Oryctolagus cuniculus: one gene and its partners. The protein of the gene in region 1 binds, or shares a complex with, the protein of each later gene. Links are inferred from orthologs where the notes say so. Each region holds a gene or a part of one and is shown in the gene's direction. Other genes may lie near its edges. The genes, in order: PTPRG, CNTN6 and CNTN4.

Evidence for each region.
Region 2: the proteins of PTPRG (region 1) and CNTN6 are in contact, whole or in part, in a crystal structure (PDB 5E5U), measured with the Mus musculus proteins. The link is inferred for Oryctolagus cuniculus from reciprocal best matches to the Homo sapiens genes PTPRG and CNTN6. Residues at the interface, in NP_033007.2 of Mus musculus: Val225, His226, His227, Lys229, Phe288, Thr290, Gln292, Gln293, Asp294, His295, Val296, Lys297, Ser298, Val299, Glu300, Tyr301; in NP_059079.2 of Mus musculus: Arg129, Val132, Arg135, Gln138, Gly139, Val140, Val141, Leu142, Leu143, Cys144, Gly145, Met222, Gly223, Tyr225, Glu226, Pro227, Lys228, Glu230, Leu252, Asn306.
Region 3: the proteins of PTPRG (region 1) and CNTN4 are in contact, whole or in part, in a crystal structure (PDB 3KLD), measured with the Mus musculus proteins. The link is inferred for Oryctolagus cuniculus from reciprocal best matches to the Homo sapiens genes PTPRG and CNTN4. Residues at the interface, in NP_033007.2 of Mus musculus: Lys222, Val225, His226, His227, Lys229, Phe288, Thr290, Gln293, Asp294, His295, Val296, Lys297, Ser298, Val299, Glu300, Tyr301; in NP_001103219.1 of Mus musculus: Thr128, Arg129, Ser130, Val132, Ser133, Arg135, Gln138, Gly139, Met140, Val141, Leu142, Leu143, Cys144, Gly145, Val219, Met220, Gly221, Glu222, Tyr223, Glu224, Pro225, Lys226, Glu228, Leu250, Asn304.

The regions. Positions count from the first base shown.
Region 1 is NC_091441.1:88,359,845-88,364,860, reverse strand, and holds the start of PTPRG (receptor-type tyrosine-protein phosphatase gamma), read left to right. Parts: upstream 1-1,556; 5' UTR 1,557-1,605; coding exon 1,606-1,690; intron 1,691-5,016.
Region 2 is NC_091441.1:123,971,254-123,976,460, reverse strand, and holds the start of CNTN6 (contactin-6), read left to right. Parts: upstream 1-1,866; 5' UTR 1,867-2,266; intron 2,267-2,272; exon of another isoform or gene 2,273-2,642; intron 2,643-5,207. UniProt on the Homo sapiens protein: Contactins mediate cell surface interactions during nervous system development. Participates in oligodendrocytes generation by acting as a ligand of NOTCH1.
Region 3 is NC_091441.1:122,981,320-122,986,340, reverse strand, and holds the start of CNTN4 (contactin-4), read left to right. Parts: upstream 1-1,872; 5' UTR 1,873-2,097; exon of another isoform or gene 2,098-2,108; intron 2,109-5,021. UniProt on the Homo sapiens protein: Contactins mediate cell surface interactions during nervous system development. Has some neurite outgrowth-promoting activity. May be involved in synaptogenesis.

The DNA.
Region 1 (5,016 bases):
AGCGGCCAGATCAGCTCTGCCCCGCGGCGCTGCTCTCACCCGGCTCCGGGCCAGGGACGCACTTCCAGCAGCCAGCCCGGGGCGCGGGGACCGTCTCCCGCGGAGTTGCGAGTTGGGAGAACTCAAGCCACCGATCCGCCGTGTGGAGCTCTAGAGAGCTGGTTTTTGCAAGCCCGGGATCGATCTCAGTCCCCTCCCCCTTCTCCCCAGCTGCGGACTCGGCCAATGGAAGCCCGAAAAGGGGTGGGAGTGGGGGTGGGAATCAAATCCCAACGTAACCTGAGTGCAAAGGCCGCTGGCTCGGCTTTGTTTCCAAGCCCGGGTATGCGCTGGGCTGGGGGCGCGAGCAGGGGGCGCGAGCGGTGCGCCCCGCCGCGGCGCTGCCAAGGCGGTGGAGCAGAACAGGAAACACTCCGGCACTAAAAAGGCGGCTGGCTGGCCCACCTTCTATCCCCAGGCCCAGGCTAGGGGTTGGTCCCCCCAAGTCCCAGATCCCCAAGCTCCGTGGTCTCGGGATCTAGCGCGCGGCGTCTTTAAGATCTCGCAACACGGCAATCTGGCAAAGACACTCTGGCTTCTCTAGAAGGCAGCCTCCTCCCTCTCTGCAAAACCGGGCGGGCGTCGTCCCCAGTCCCCCTAAGCGCCCCCTGTAAGAGCCTGCATTCCCCGGGGCCCCGCGGCCACCGCGGAGCTGCGGGACCCCTCGGAGGCGGGAGGCGAGCGTGGTTGCTTTAAGAGCGCGGGGCGCGAGCCCGCCGCCGCCTGCTCAGGATTGCGCGCCCCCGCCGCCGCGCGCCCCCGCCGCCAGCGCCGCTGCGCGCCCCCTGCTCGCTCGTTCGTTCGCTCGCTCGCTCGCCGGCTTTAAAGTCTCTGCCAGGATCCATGCTCACATGTTACTTCCTGTATGGAGGCATGGCCAGTTTCCAGCCCCGCGCTCCCCGTTCCTCCTCAGCCTGCGCCGGAGCCACAACTTTCAGGAGCATGGACTGAAGGCGCCCTCGCCCCAGCGCCCCTCTGAGATCCTTTGTGGTTTCCTCGGTTTCCTCCGGCCGTTTCTATTTTGGGGGGCTGCTCGCTCCTCCCGCCGCTCCCCTCCCCTTCCCCGCTCGCAAACATGCCTCCTTCCTTCCCGGGGCCCTGGAAGGAGCTGCCTGCCTGAAGCCCGGAGACGCCGCGCCGCGCCTCAGCCCCGCCGCCGCCCGCCGGCTCTCGGCTCTCAACTTGGGGATCCTCGCCGCTCGCCGCCGCCGCCGCCGCCTGCGGTCCCTGCCTGCCCCGCGCCCGGGGCATCGCCGCCGCCGCCGCCCGCCGCCTCTTCGCCCTGCCTGCTCGGCTCGCGCCTTTCTGAACGGAACGCAGCCCGTCTCCGCCGAGAGGAGCGTCCCCAGCGAGGCTCCGCGTTCGCGGTCACTTTTTGAGATTTTCCGGGGGGCGCTCGGTGGCTTCCTGGATTCCAGGGGGACTCGGGCCGCCGAGCGCGGGGGGCCCGTGGAGCGGGCGAGCCGGAGAAGCGCCCAGGCTTAGCGGAGGCTCGTACCGAAGCGAGAACTTACTCAACAAGTTTATCCCCCCCTGCTTTCGTCTTTTCGATGTGCGTTTTCGGACATGCGGAGGTTACTGGAACCGTGTTGGTGGATTTTGTTCCTGAAAATCACCAGTTCCGTGCTCCATTATGTCGTGTGCTTCCCCGGTGAGTGCCGGCCTCGGAGGGGACGCGGCCCCAGCCGGCGCGCGCGGGGGGATGCGGAGTTGTCGCCGGGGCGCGGAGCTCGGGCGCCGGTGCTGGGGACCCCGGCGGGGGTGGCGGGGAACCGGGTGCCCAGGACCGAGAGAGACCTGTTCCGCCAGCCCTGGCGATGTTTAGGGAGGCTGGTTGGCTGTCGGGGAGGGTGGAGACGGGGACCGCCCGGGGAGGAGAAGTAGGTACCCGGGATTCTCTTGCTCCAGCTTGGGTTTGGGGGTGCCGTGGGAGAGCCAGAGTAGGGAGAAGAGGGGACTTGCTTTGCTGATCCGCGGCCAATCGGGAGAGGTAGAGTTGGGGGGCCGTTGGGGAGACTGAGGCCGTGGGAGGATGCCTCTGTGGGCTTGGGGGGAGTCTGGGGTGTGCTCCTCTCTCCGGTAGGGATCGAAAGAGGTCAGAAAGAGGGGCCTCGCTTTGCTGATCTCTGACCCTTGGGGAGGACTGGTATTTGGTATGGAAGCCGGAGGTTGACGGCGGAGGATTGAGGGTGTGGGGAATGTTGGGAGCAGCCTGCATTTTGCTCTCGGGGGTGGGCCCCCCTCCAACCCCCTGCTGGGGGCGTGGGGCTGCCCTTGGCTGCCTGCGGGAGGCAGACTGCCTGGGCGCAGTGGGAGGACCGGGAGCGAGCGGTTTAGGGAGATGCAGGCTCCCTCAGGCCCCTTTCCTCCGCTGCTCTGCTCCCTCTGCTCCGCGGGGCCGCGGGGGTCGGGGCGCAGGGGGCGGGCCGGCGGCTGGGTTGCTGTTCGCGCCGGGGCGGATTTCTCCCCGTCTCGCGCGCCCTGCCTACCTGCATCTCTGCCTTTTGCAGGCTGTTCACGGATGGCAGACCCAGACCTGCTCCCTTCTGGCCAGGTTGAGACAGGAACAATATTGGCCATTGATGACGATAATAAATCACTGCACGTAGAGGTGTGCGGCTCGGCGACCCTCCACTTGCAGCTCTGAGCCGGCCGACGCCTCCTTCCCTCCCGAAGGGCAGTGGCCAGCCGCCTCCCTCTCTCTTGCAGGGTCCCCAGGCTGCAGCCCTGATCTCCCTAGAAGCTGTCCGGCCCCCTCTCTGGGGATGGAGGCCACGTCCTCTGCCCTGGAGTGGGGATACGGATGAGAGGGAAGGAGATGTTCGCTTTCACCTCTCCATCTCCTGAGGACGGACAATCCCCCGTTTGTGTGCCCTCTCATCCGCCCGCTCCCGGATACATATAGGTGTCCGTTATCTGAATCAGGAGAAAGAGGAACGTGCTCCGTTATTTCCGCTGTGCCCAGTTCCAGCCGCCTGTCCTCGGGCGGCTGGAGCGCCGGGCTTTGGTGCAGCGGATCGCTCAGCCCCGTCGTGCACCCTGGAGCAGGGCGCGGGCGTCTTCGCTGCCCCCGTACGGACCCGCTCAGGGGAGAGACTGGCAGCAAGTGCCCCCTTTGCACGCCCGGGAGTAGCCTAGAGGGGCGCAGAGGCAGAGAAAGCCCTGTCTTTCCTTGGGCACCCCTGTTTCTCTGTGCGCATCCCCCTGTCCCCGGAGCCGCACAGAGCTCCTGCCACAGTTCAGAAACCCAGGCAGAGACTGAACGGGGACGTGCGTCCACACTAACCCGGAGGCCGGAGACATGCCCGGCCGGGGCCAGCGCCCACGGGAGTGGGATCGCTGTCTCTCCCTGTTCCTTGAAGACTGCTCAGTATCTGTATTAACCATCTCCGCTGCTAGACTCCCCCTCTCGGCCGCGAACTTGCCGCCTGAGTGGGCTCAGATGCACTCAGGGTCGAGCTTTGCTATGGCCCTGCCTTAACGGGGTCACGGGAGGTAGCGGAGGGCAACCCTGGGAAATGGGAGGCATTGCCATGGCCATTTCTGGCTTTCTTCAGCGTGGGGATGCAGTCAGTGGGCCCACCGTGATGTTCGTGTTCCTGGTAGCCGAGGAAGCTTGCGATCCAAAATGGGATCGCCAGGGATGCCGCCTGCTTGGGGCTTGGACCATTTTCGCCTTTCTCATTTTCTTTTCGTGCCCACGCTGCGAGGTAAATAGCCCGTTCCCTCATCCGGGAGCCCAGTGGTATGGGAGAGGGAAGGCGCAGCCTTGGGAGGCGCGGGGGGCGGGGGGGATGGGGGAGGACGGGAGGGGGGAGCGGGGTTTGATTTGGAAAAGTGCGGCCCGAGGGGATGTAGCAGCTTTTGAAGCCAGCAAAGTTCAGATGTCACACTGCTGGGAGAGCTGGCATTCTCCCCCCCCCCCCCCAACACCCCGAGGTGCCGTGGCACCGCTGGACTTCAGGGGGCGCCTCTGAGCCACTGGTCGGGCTACTGCCACCTCCTGGGGCTGGCCTCGGCCATCTCCACGCCTCAGGAATGGGGTGCGCGCGCCCAGGTTTTGAGGCACTGAGGGCTGCAGATGCATCTGGGCGCGAGGAGGTGGCTTCGGTTCCGGGCTGCTGCTCGTGGCCGGCTTGAAACCCGGTGGGGGCTGCGGTTCACTTTGAAACCCCCACTTTCTGCCTCCCAGAACCTAGGAAGCGTTTATGTGTTTGACACACGGGATAAAAACGTTCCTGATTTTGGATTAGGGTCCTTGTGAGATGTTGATCCAAATCCCTTGTTACTTATTTTGGAATGGTACCAACTTTGCATTTGTGTTTGCATTTGAGTTCTCTGCCCAGGGTACAAGGTAGCTGTAGTGTGGGGAGCCTTTTGGAAGCACAGCCCTGGCTTGGGTCTTTTCCCAGCGGATAGGAAACAGTAGTGGCCTTTAATCTTTCAACAGCAGCATGGCAGGTGTGGGACCAGGGTCACAGTTAGTGCTTCCACTGATGCTTTCCAAGTGCACAGCGGAAGTATCATCAGACATGATATTAGGCAAGTTACCTCCTCCTGCATCTTTTAAAATACATAAAAAGAAAAAAAAAACAAAACGTGATGGACCCCTATAGACACAACCCCCCCACCCAGCTTCCACAATTCCCAGCTTTTTGTTCATCTGTGTCTGCAGCCTCCCTGGCACCTTATTACTGTATTATTACAATTTTTTTATTAATTAATTAATTTTTTAATCTGAGAGGTGGAGTTACAGACAGATAGGGAGAGACAGAGAAAGGTCTTCCACCGGCTGGTTTACTCCCAAATGCCCCCAACGGGCAGAGCTGAGCTGATCTGAAGCCAGGAGCCACGAACTTCTTCTGGATCTCCCACATGGATGCAGGGGCTCAAGCACTCAGGCCGTCTTCTACTGCTTTCCCTGGCCCTAGCAGAGAGCTGGGTCTGAAATGGAGCAGCCAGGGCACGAACTGGCAC
Region 2 (5,207 bases), about 36 Mb from region 1:
TGGCCATAATGGCTGGAGCTGCGCTGATCCGAAGCCCGGAGCCAGGCGCTTCCTCCAGGCCTCCCACGCGGGTGCAGGGCCCGAGGACTTGGGCATCCTCCACTGCTACCCCAGGCCTCAGCAGAGAGCTGGGCTGGAAGCGGAGCAGCCGGGACTTGACAAGTGTCCGTGTGGGATGCCGGCACTGCAGGTGGCGGTTTTACCCTCCGTGCCACAGTGCTGACCTTAGAGATAATATCTCCTTAAACTGCCCGAGGAAGTTGTGAGATACAGCTGAAGCTCTGTAGCAAATGTTGCAAGCCCATAGCCTTTTCCAGGCGCGAGGCAGTGCAGCCGTCAGGGAGAGGCGGTGTGCAAGCCAGGACCCGTGACCCCGGGCCTGTGAGCCAGGCTGGCCCTGTTGCTGAGGTGAGGCTACCGGAAAGCAAGGGCCGACCGTGTCCCCTTTCTGATCTGCGATGTCTTCCATAGATACTCATGACCTGTTGCTAGGGAGAGTGTACGACACCTGCGCGGTGGTGACGGCTCTCACCGTAAGATGATGTCCTGGAGGCCCAGCACGGTGAACTGTCTGCACGCTGTGCGTGTCCTGTGACTGCACCGCGCGCCTGACGCTGCTCCCGGGGGCGGCTGTCTGCAATCGGCAGAGTCTACCTGAAGTCGGTTCAGTCTAGGAAAACCGGCCTCTTCCAGGCTTCGAGACGACTCCTGACGAGCCTCCTGGGACGCGCTCGCCCCGGGAGAGGCTGTGACCGGGGCCGAGGCCGCCATGCGCCTGTGCGGGGCGCACGAGCCGGAGGACCAGCCGGGGCCCGCGCGAGCCCTACCCTGGAGCACCGGGGACGGAGCTGGGGGCCGCGGGAGGACCCTCAAGGCTGGGGGCCGCCACCGGGCGCCCGGGGCAGCCCCGTCCCACTCAGGAGCCAGGATCTCGCTCTGATTTCCACTGCACACGGCGTACGCGCAGGACAGGGACGTGGACCCTGTCAGGGTGGAAAATCAGGTCTGGGTTCGGCCTAGAGCGGTGAGGACCCCGCGCCCAGACTCCGCGCGCCTCGCGTGATGCACACGCAGGGCACCCCGCGGCCGCGATTTACGTGCTGCCCGCTGCGCTTGGGCGCACGCTCCCGTGCCTCCGCTGGGCTCCGCACGCGCTCAGCGCTCCTGCACACTGCGCACGCGCACAGCCTGTGCGGCCCGCCTGCGCGCTCCCGTGCCTCCGCTTGGCTCCGCACGCGCTCGCTCGTGCACACTGCGCACGCGCACAGCCCGTGCCCGCCGCCTGCGCGCTCCCGTGCCTCCGCACGCGCTCAGCGCTCGTGCACACTGCGCACGCGCACAGCCTGTGCCCGCCTGCGCGCTCCCGCGCCTCGCGCCCGCCCCCGGGCCTGCGTTTCCGGGAGGAGGGGCTGTTTCGCTGTTCTGTGACTGGTGCCCGTGTTGTCCTGGTAGCTAGTGCGCGCTGTCAGGCGGGAGCGCTGAGGTCGTGCGCGTTCCGGAGTCAGCCGGGCAAAGCCGGCCGCAGCCGGCCGCTGACGCGGAGGGAGCGCGCGGGCCGGCGCCTACAAACGGCCGCCCTGCGCATTTCCGCCCCGCAGCCCTCAGAACGCAGATGGAGCCCAACAATGGCGTATCTCCCTGCTGGGGAGCACTTCACCGCCGGCTCTCGGGCTCTGCGCCCGGCACTCGGGACTCTGCACCCGGCTCCCGGGGCTCTGCGCCCAGCACTCGGTACTCTGCACCCGGCTCCCGGGGTCCTGCGCTCGGCACTCGGGGCTCTGCACCCAGCTCCCGGGGCTCTGCGCCCGGCACTCGGGGTCCTGAGCTCTGCACTCGGGAGTCCTGAGCCGACTCCCGGCTCTCGGGGCTCTGCACCCGGCACTCGGGGCTCTGCGCCCGGCTCCCTGGGCTCTGCGCCCGGCACTCCCATCACCACCGGTCGAGGCTTGCGGCCCGCCATGTGGAGCTCTGCTCCCAGGACTGGAGCTTCGGCGCCCGCCATAAGGTGCCGTCACGGTCACTCGAGCCCCTGCGCCCGCCATTCGGTCCCTTCCCGCGCCAGGCCCCAGGGTCTCTGCGCGCCATGCGGTGCTGAGCTTCCGTCTCCTGTGTTGGATGCGCTTCCCGGACCGCGCTCAGGGCGGCTGGCCCGTCCTGCGGAGAGGGCCGCACGCGTCCCTGGTCGCCGAGCAGGCGCTGCCTGACCCTGGCGCGCTCTGGCCCGGAGGGCGCGTGTTCACGCGGCGAGGGCCTAGGGTGCCTCTCGGTGAGTCGCTCGGTGTTCGCCTCGTGGCTTAGCCTCACGGTTTTATTTAACGTGGAAGAGCACCTCAGCTCACCTCACGCGGAAGAGCCGTCGAGGGGGTTCCTTCCGGTCCGCTGATGTTTGGGACGGTGAGATCCTCAGCCAAGTTCACAGTGAGCACTTCCCAGGGAAATAAGAGAGCCGAATCTGCACATTTCCAAGGCCAGGACAGGCAGTGTTGATCCCGGATGTGTTTGTGCCGTATGGTGAGCAGATATCGACACATTTTCCATAAAACATCTCCTGAGGTGGACTGCAGTGGCGCGAAGTGAAATCCAGTCTTAATCCTGCAGTGCACCTCGTGTGGATGACAAGTCATTCAGCCCCCGGCAGTCATGTTAGTACTCCGAAATCCTTCCGATTGCGTTACTGTTAGAAACACACGGTTAGGAGGCCCCATTATGGACGTTGTGTTCATTTCTAATTTTTGTGTGTGTGTTCCTAGAACATTTTAAAAGATAATGAGACCATTTCATTTATGGTACTCTGTAATAAATTTACATAATGAAACGAAGATCTAGTTTGACTTAAGGAAATTTTAAATACGGTGTGAAGGTTTTATTTTGAACTTAAAGCAATATACATTTCAAACAGTTCAACAATGCAGAGTTGAAAAAGATCTACTTTCTTTGCTCCACACCTAAACTCTTTTTTTTTTTTTTTAAGATTTTATTTATCTGAGAGAGAGAGATACAGGCAGCCAGAGGGAGACAGAGGAAGGCCTTCCATCTGCTGGTTCACTCCCCAGATGACTGCAATGGCCGAAGCTGAGCCGATCCAAAACTAGGAGCTTTTTAGGTGTCTCCCTCCTAGGGTGCAGGGACTCAAGCTCTTGGGCGTCTTCCACTGCTTTCCCAGACCATAAGCAGCGAGCTGGATTGGAAGAGGAGCAGCTGAACCGGAGCTGTTGGAGGCTCAGCCTAGGAGGCCACAGCGCCAGGCCGCACACCTGAACACATAAACTCTTCAATTTGGCACTTGACTAGTGTTGTCAGATTGACAAAGCTGTTGCAACTTATTGTGCTTCCAGTAACATTCTTTTCTACCTTTTAAAAATATTTACACATAAGAGTAAAAATACTAAAGTTACTAGTCTGCAACTTGCTTTTATTATTTAACTTATTTTATTACAGTTTTCTAGGTTACTACTTATAGCTTCTATATGAAAAGCATAGTTGGTGTTTATTAGAAATATGTGAATATTTCAAAAAATTTGAAAAGGTAATTAAGAGGTAAGTTTCTTTTGATGCAAAAAAATGAAATCGATGCACATGAGAGTTCTTCATAAACAACATTGGTTTCACAAATTTTTTTGTATCAAAGCAAACATATCTTTTAATTACTTTTCCCACAGTCTTTTAGAAGTGCTTTTATTTGTGCAATAATTTGCTGAATAATTTCCTGCTCAAAATATTTAAATAATTATCAACAAAAATGCTACAGCAAAACTCCTTTACACACACCAGTGGCCTTAGAGCACGTATGGTTTCGTTTCTTGTCAGAGAAGAAGAATCGGGCATTATTGTATATCAGGCTAAGCTGCCGCCTTGAGATGCCTGATTGAAATTGCAGTTCCTGTGCTTCTGACCCAGCTTCCTGATAATGTGCACCTTGGAAGGGAGGGTGTGATGCCCAAGTGCTTGAGCCCTACCACCCTGTCTGCTAGACCTGGATGAAGTTCCGGGGCCCCAGCCTAGGCATTACAGACATTTAGGAAGTCAACAAGCAGTTAGAAGCTCTCTCTTCCTCCCTCCCTCTCTCTCATATCTGTCTCTGTCTTTCAAGAAGATGGAAAAATAAATAGGTAAACAGTAAGAATAAGAATGTGATATAATTTACCAGTGTATAGACAGAAAATAAGAGCACCCTCTTTGAGAATGCACTTTCACTTTTCTTCCCTCCTCTCTGCTTCCCTCCTCTGCCCCTCTCCTCCCTTCTCCCCCACCCTCCCTGCCTTCCTTCCATCTTTTTTTATTTTTCCTCCCTCTGTCTTTTCATACTCCTTCCTTCCTTTCCTGCATTCTCCCATTTTTCTTTCTTAGGTTCCATGCATCTCTTCTATGTTTCTCTTTTGCATTTTATTTTATGTAGCTACAAAAAGTTACTTTTCCAAATTATGAAAATCCAGATGTTCTTCTGCTTACTAAGTAGAGAAGGGCAGTGTCGAACATAAAATGCTTGCTTGCTATTGATTTTTCACATTGACACTTAGACTTGGAGCTCTGCTCCCAGGACTGGAGCTTCGGCGCCCGCCATAAGGTGCCGTCATGGTCACTCGAGCCCCTGCACCCGCCATTCGGTCCCTTCCCGCGCCAGGCCCCAGGGTCTCTGCGCGCCGTGCGGTGCTGAGCTTCCGTCTCCTGTCTTGGGTGCGCTTCCCGGACAGCGCATCCAGCGTTAGCAGGCTGAGGAAACGATCCTCCACGCGGAAAGCGCACACGTGTCTTTCCTGGTGGTGATGTCCTGGGCTGCTGAGGCAGTGAAGGGAACACAAGTTTGTGTGAGGACTGCTGTGCTGGCCCCATTCTATGTGTCATAGTAGACAATTTGTTCAGTTCTCGTATCTCACTAAAAGAAGATGAAACTATCATGATAGTGCTGCTAAGTGGAAATTAGGTAACATATGTCACACGCATATAAAAATGCGTTGGATTGAGCCAAAGTTCCGAGAACTCAAAATTTGAGGAAGCATGAAAGCCGTCTTGCCATTCTTTCCATTATAGATGCCTCTGCATGCTTTAGCTTGATGCCTGTCCATCATTGCCTCTCTGAGCTTGTATAACGTAAGGAAATCTGTTTGCTGTCTCCCTTCCCAACCACTATAACAAATCACTCCAGGTTTCATGATATGACTGCATACTGGGAAGTTTTCTTTCAGGCCTTTCAGCAGTCATTTGAAGAG
Region 3 (5,021 bases), about 35 Mb from region 1:
AGATAGATAGTAGATAGATAGATAGATAAAATTTTAAAGCCCACCCCTCGGGAGGTGCATGACGGGTGGGCGGGGCAGAGGAGTGTCCTGGACTGAGTGGCACCTGTGCAATGCATTCTGCCCCAGTCTCCAAAAAGTCAAAAACGTTCTCCAGGCTGACTCCCCTTGAGTGATCAGACCTCGTTGAAACCGGTTTAATAACCGTGTGCAGGGAGAACTCGTGTCCAAATGGACTCCTGCATTAAGGAGATGTGGGGGTGGAACTTGCTGTGGGTGGACGCTGCCATGGGAGGAGGCCTGGCGGAGAACTGTGTCCCTGGGGCTCCCCGCGCCCCCTGAGGAGCACCCACCGGATACCGCAGCCACTGTGATGGGCGCCCAGCCCTCCCGGATCTGTCTGGAATGTTCACGGCGAGCAGCCCCGACCCCCACTCCCTCACACAAGGAGTCTCCCAGCAGAGGCTGCAGCTCTGATTCCCCCAGGCCAGGAGAAGCCGCGGTCCGTCGGGACACGCTGGGGCAGCGCTGGCCGGGGCTTGTCCGTGGGCGCGGCAGAGAGGCGGCTCCCGGGTCCCGGTGCGGTGGACGCCCAGTGCCACGACCGGGTCCAGCCCTGCTGCCACTGCCGCTGTGGACCGCGCAAACCCGAGCCCAGGGCCGGGGCGCCCGACCCAGGATCCAGGTGAGAGAGAGGCACACTCGCATAACCGGATGACGACGCGGCGGGGGTTACCGGGACCCGGTCGGGAACGTGGAGACCTGCCTGGCCTGTGGTGCCCGGGAGAAGGACACAGGCTGAGCTTTGGTCTCAGAGGTTCTGTGCGCTCAGAGGGCGCCTGCATCCACTTCTGTTGCTGTTCTTGTATGTTTTTACTGAAAATTATATATATAATATATATATATTTTACTTTGTAAACATTTATTTGAAAGGCAGGCTTAGAGAGAGAGAGGTCTTTGATCTGCTGGTTCACTCCCCGGATGGCTGCAATGGCCAGGGCTGGGCCAGACCAAAGCCAGGAGCCACCAGCATCATCCGGTCTCCCTCATTGGGTAGCAGGGGCTCTAGGACTTGGGCCATCTTCCGTTGCTTTCCCAGGCCATTAGCAGGGAGCTGGACTGGAAGTGCACTCTGCACCCGTATGGGACGCTGGCTTTGCAGGCGCGGCTTTGCCTGCTAAGCCACAGCATTGGCCCCTGAATACAGTTCCTTTAAATAATAAAATAAATGAAAACAACAGACAAATCCCCAGTCCAACACTGAGCGAACAAGACTGCTGCACTCGCAGGCAGGAGCTGCAGGGTTGCACGCGGCGCACGCGGCCAGCGGCCGCTGCAGCTCTGGGTGCGCAGATGCGGGCCCAGCAAACCCTCAGGAGAAACGCGGCTCCACCCAGCGCGCGCAGCCCTGGCCCCGCGCCTCGCCACGGCCCCTCCAGCGCAGCGACTCCGCGGAGCACGCGCAGGTAAAAGTCCCTCTTCCGGCTGCTCCAGTTCCGCTCCGCCGCCCGCCCCCAGCCCCGGCTCCTCCTGAAGATGCGCCCCAGGTTTGGGTGTACGGGCAGGTCGCGCCTCCTTGTGCCCCGGTGCTCAGCGACGTCGCCTCGGACACACCCCTGGCCTGCAGCCCCCACGCCCTGCTCGGGAGCCGGGACGATGGTCTCCGCGGGCCTGGGGACCAGCGAGGCGTCGCTACCAGTTCTCGCGCAGTGGTCCAGGCGCGCCTCCCCAGCGGCAGTCCATCTGCGCCCCCAAGCTCCCCCCGCAGGTGCGTCGCCTCGGCGCGCGCCTCCTCCGGCAGTGCTCTGAGCATGCCCAGCTCGGCCGCGCGCCGCATCCCAGCCACGCGCGGGCGCCTCCCCGCTCCCCGCCCCTCTCCACTCCCAGCGCGCCCCTCCTCTCCGCGGCCGCGGAGCCGGCAGCCCGAACTCCGGCGCGCCGGGTTTTTGGAGCGGCCGCGAGCGTGAGGAGGACGTAGAGCGCGGCACCAGGCAGCTCCAGGTCCACACCAGGATTGGCCGCAAGTGGGAAGGTTCGCTCTGCACGGGGACCCCGGCCGGTGCCGACGCCGCGCGCGGATCCTGCCAACACCGCGCTCAGGTGCGGCTCAGGTGAGCGATGCGCGCGCTGCTCCCGGCTCCCTGGAGCGCGGATTTGGGGAAAAACAGGGTTCCTGCGGGCTGGAGGATGGAGAGGAGCTGCCCGCCCGCGGCTCTCTCTCATGCAGGGCTGGACCGGCCCGAGCGAGCGGGGCGGCCCTCCGAGTCTGGCCGCGGGCACTGAGCGCCGCGAGCCCAGGAGGAGGCAGGGCCGCGGCGACCCTTCTCCCTTTCAGCCAGAACATAAGTTTGTTGCGCTGCGAAGCGAGCTCCGAGCCGGGAATGCTAGGGGACCCTTGAAATCCGCTCCGCCATCCAGCTCAGGACGTGCCCCTGGCGCGCAGATGATGGCCCGGTCGCTAGCGGGGTTCCCTCTGCGGGCCAGAGGTGAGGAGGGCGGACGTGGGCTGTAGGTGGCAGGGCCGCTGGAACAGGAGCCGCGGCCGCGACCGGAAAACCGCGGAGACAGAGACCGGCGTGCGGGGCCCCGCCGAGCACCGGGCTCGGGGCCAGGCGTCTGGGCAGCGGCGAGCAGTGGCCGCGTCCCCGCTCGGGCGGAGCGCTCCTGGCTTCCCAGCTTCTACCAGGGCGCCCTTAGGGGCGGCACTCTTTTCCAGCAACTTTTCGGGGGTCTCCAGGAGCTGGTGAGGTACGTTGGGCTACCACCTTGTCCACTCGCTGGACCCAGACAGCGGCGAGAGGCGCGCCCGGCCCCCGCGCGCTCTCCTGAGACAGAGGGCGCAAACCCGTGGCTGCGTGCGTTTCCCGTTTGTGCGCCTCGAGCCGGTGTCTGACTCCTAATGGGAGGCGTGGAGGTGAGGGCGGGAGGACGGGGCTCCCCGGTGGCCGCGCACGGCTGCGCCCGCTGGCACAGCCGGCCGCGGGGTTGCGGGCGCGCGGGGTCTGGCGCGCCGAGGCTGCCGGAGGTCGCGCGGCGCGCGTCGGGGCTCAGCGCTCTGGCTGCGCGGCCAGCGCGGGGAGAGGCGAGGGCCTGCGTGGGGGGCTTGGCCGGTCTGGGCGACGTGCGGGGAGTCGGGCTCCGGGAACTTTCTCTGTTTTTCCCGCTTGGATCGACACGGGGTGGGAAGAGTGTCTTCTAATTGCATGGGAGCGCCCGCGGCGCCGGTGGCGGGAGTCGGGTGTTTCAGGGCGGAACGCCACTGGGCTGGCGGCTGGGACACCCGCGGAACCCCATGTCTGTTTTTTTTTTTGGGGGGGGGCGGTCGTTTCTTCAGGGACTGAGGCGGGGACGCGGGGGAGGTCGGCACCTTTGCGCCCCGGGCGTCCCAGTCAGCTCTCCTCGCCCGGGTGGGCGCGAAGCGCACGCGTCACGCGCGGACTCCGCGAGGCGCTCTGCGGTGATTTCGCCTTCGGTGCAGGCTTGCCGGCTCCTCGGGATCCGGGGCTGTGCGCCTCCGCCGCGGTCCGGGAGCGGAGGAGGGCGAGGGCGAGGGCGAGGGCTCAGGGCTTCCAGAGAACGTCGGTTTGCTGCTGGTCTCTGCCGATCGCAGCTGCGCCTCTTGGCGGAGGCTGATCGTTAAACTTCGTTCTGTCCACTCTGGGCCCTGCCAGGGCGCCGCGCGCGCGGGAGAACTCGTCTTTACCACTAGGGCTGAGATTGTTAAGAAAGAGAGATTATTTATTTGAAAGGCAGAGCGACAGGAGGGGAGGGGGAGCGCGCGCGGTAGTGTTCTACCACTGCTTCACTCCCCAAATGGACTCAACAGCCAGATTTAGGCCAGGCTGCAGCCAGGAGCTCCTCCAGGTCTCCCACGTGGGTGCAGGGCCCAAGGACCCGGACCATTTTCTAACGCCGGCCCAGGTGCAGAAGCAGGCAGCCGGGACGCCAACTGGCGCTCCACCTGCGCCTCCCAGGCAGGGGCTTTACCAGCTGTACCAAAGGCGGGCCCTAGAGGCTGAGCATCTGAGAGGCACCTGTGTGCGGGCCGCTGGGCGTGGGCGGAGTTAAAGCCAGGTGGGCGGTGATGAGGTGACTACAGAGCGCCCTCCACGGGGCGGCTGGCGGCTGGCTTGGTTCCTCGGGGCTTGCCCGAGGCTCTCAGCTCATTCTCCTGTAAGCACGGAACACCGTGGCCGTGACCGCACACTCTCCTGGCTCTCCTGAAGGCTCACGGGCACCTGTGACTCCAGTCGAGGTGAAAGTGTGAGCACAACCTAATTGCACTCTCAGAGAGGCTTCTCCACCCGTGTCGTCTGATAGTCAATGCTTTTCACGTGCGCACTTTGCGGTTCCTGCCCTAGACACAAAAATGAGTTCCCATCTCCTTCTCAAGGAACTCATCTTTTGTGAGAACTTGGGTTCCTAAGATTGTGATTAAACGACTGTGGTTCTTGTGATAGGCAGGTGTGAGGGTAGGGAATTCTTTTTTCTGGTGTTTTTTTTTTTTTTTTTTTTTTTTTTAAATACACAGCAGTGTCTGAAGGAGGAGGGAGGCAGGCCAGAGTTTGTACCTGATGTACTGGCCTTTGTTTTTTTAACAATGACTTTCAGAAAGAACCTTGACCACACACTGGTGAAATGTGTGCCTTGGTAGCAGACATTGTTCCACCAACTGCTGCTGATAAATGCACACAGAGCAGAGATGCAGGATGGCGGGAGGTCTGGTGTCCTGGCCCCCAGGGTCTCAGGGTGTGGGAGGTCTGGTGTCCTGGCCCCGGGGTGCAGGAGGTCTGGTGTCCTGGCCCCCAGGGTCTCAGGGTGTGGGAGGTCTGGTGTCCTGGCCCCCAGGGCCTCAGGGTGCAGGAGGTCTGGTGTCCAGGCCCCCAGGGTCTCAGGGTGCAGGAGGTCTGGTGTCCAGGCCCCCAGGGTCTCAGGGTGCAGGAGGTCTGGTGTCCAGGCCCCCAGGGTCTCAGGGTGTGGGAGGTCTGGTGTCCGCCCCGGGTGCAGGCCCACTGGGAGGCCTC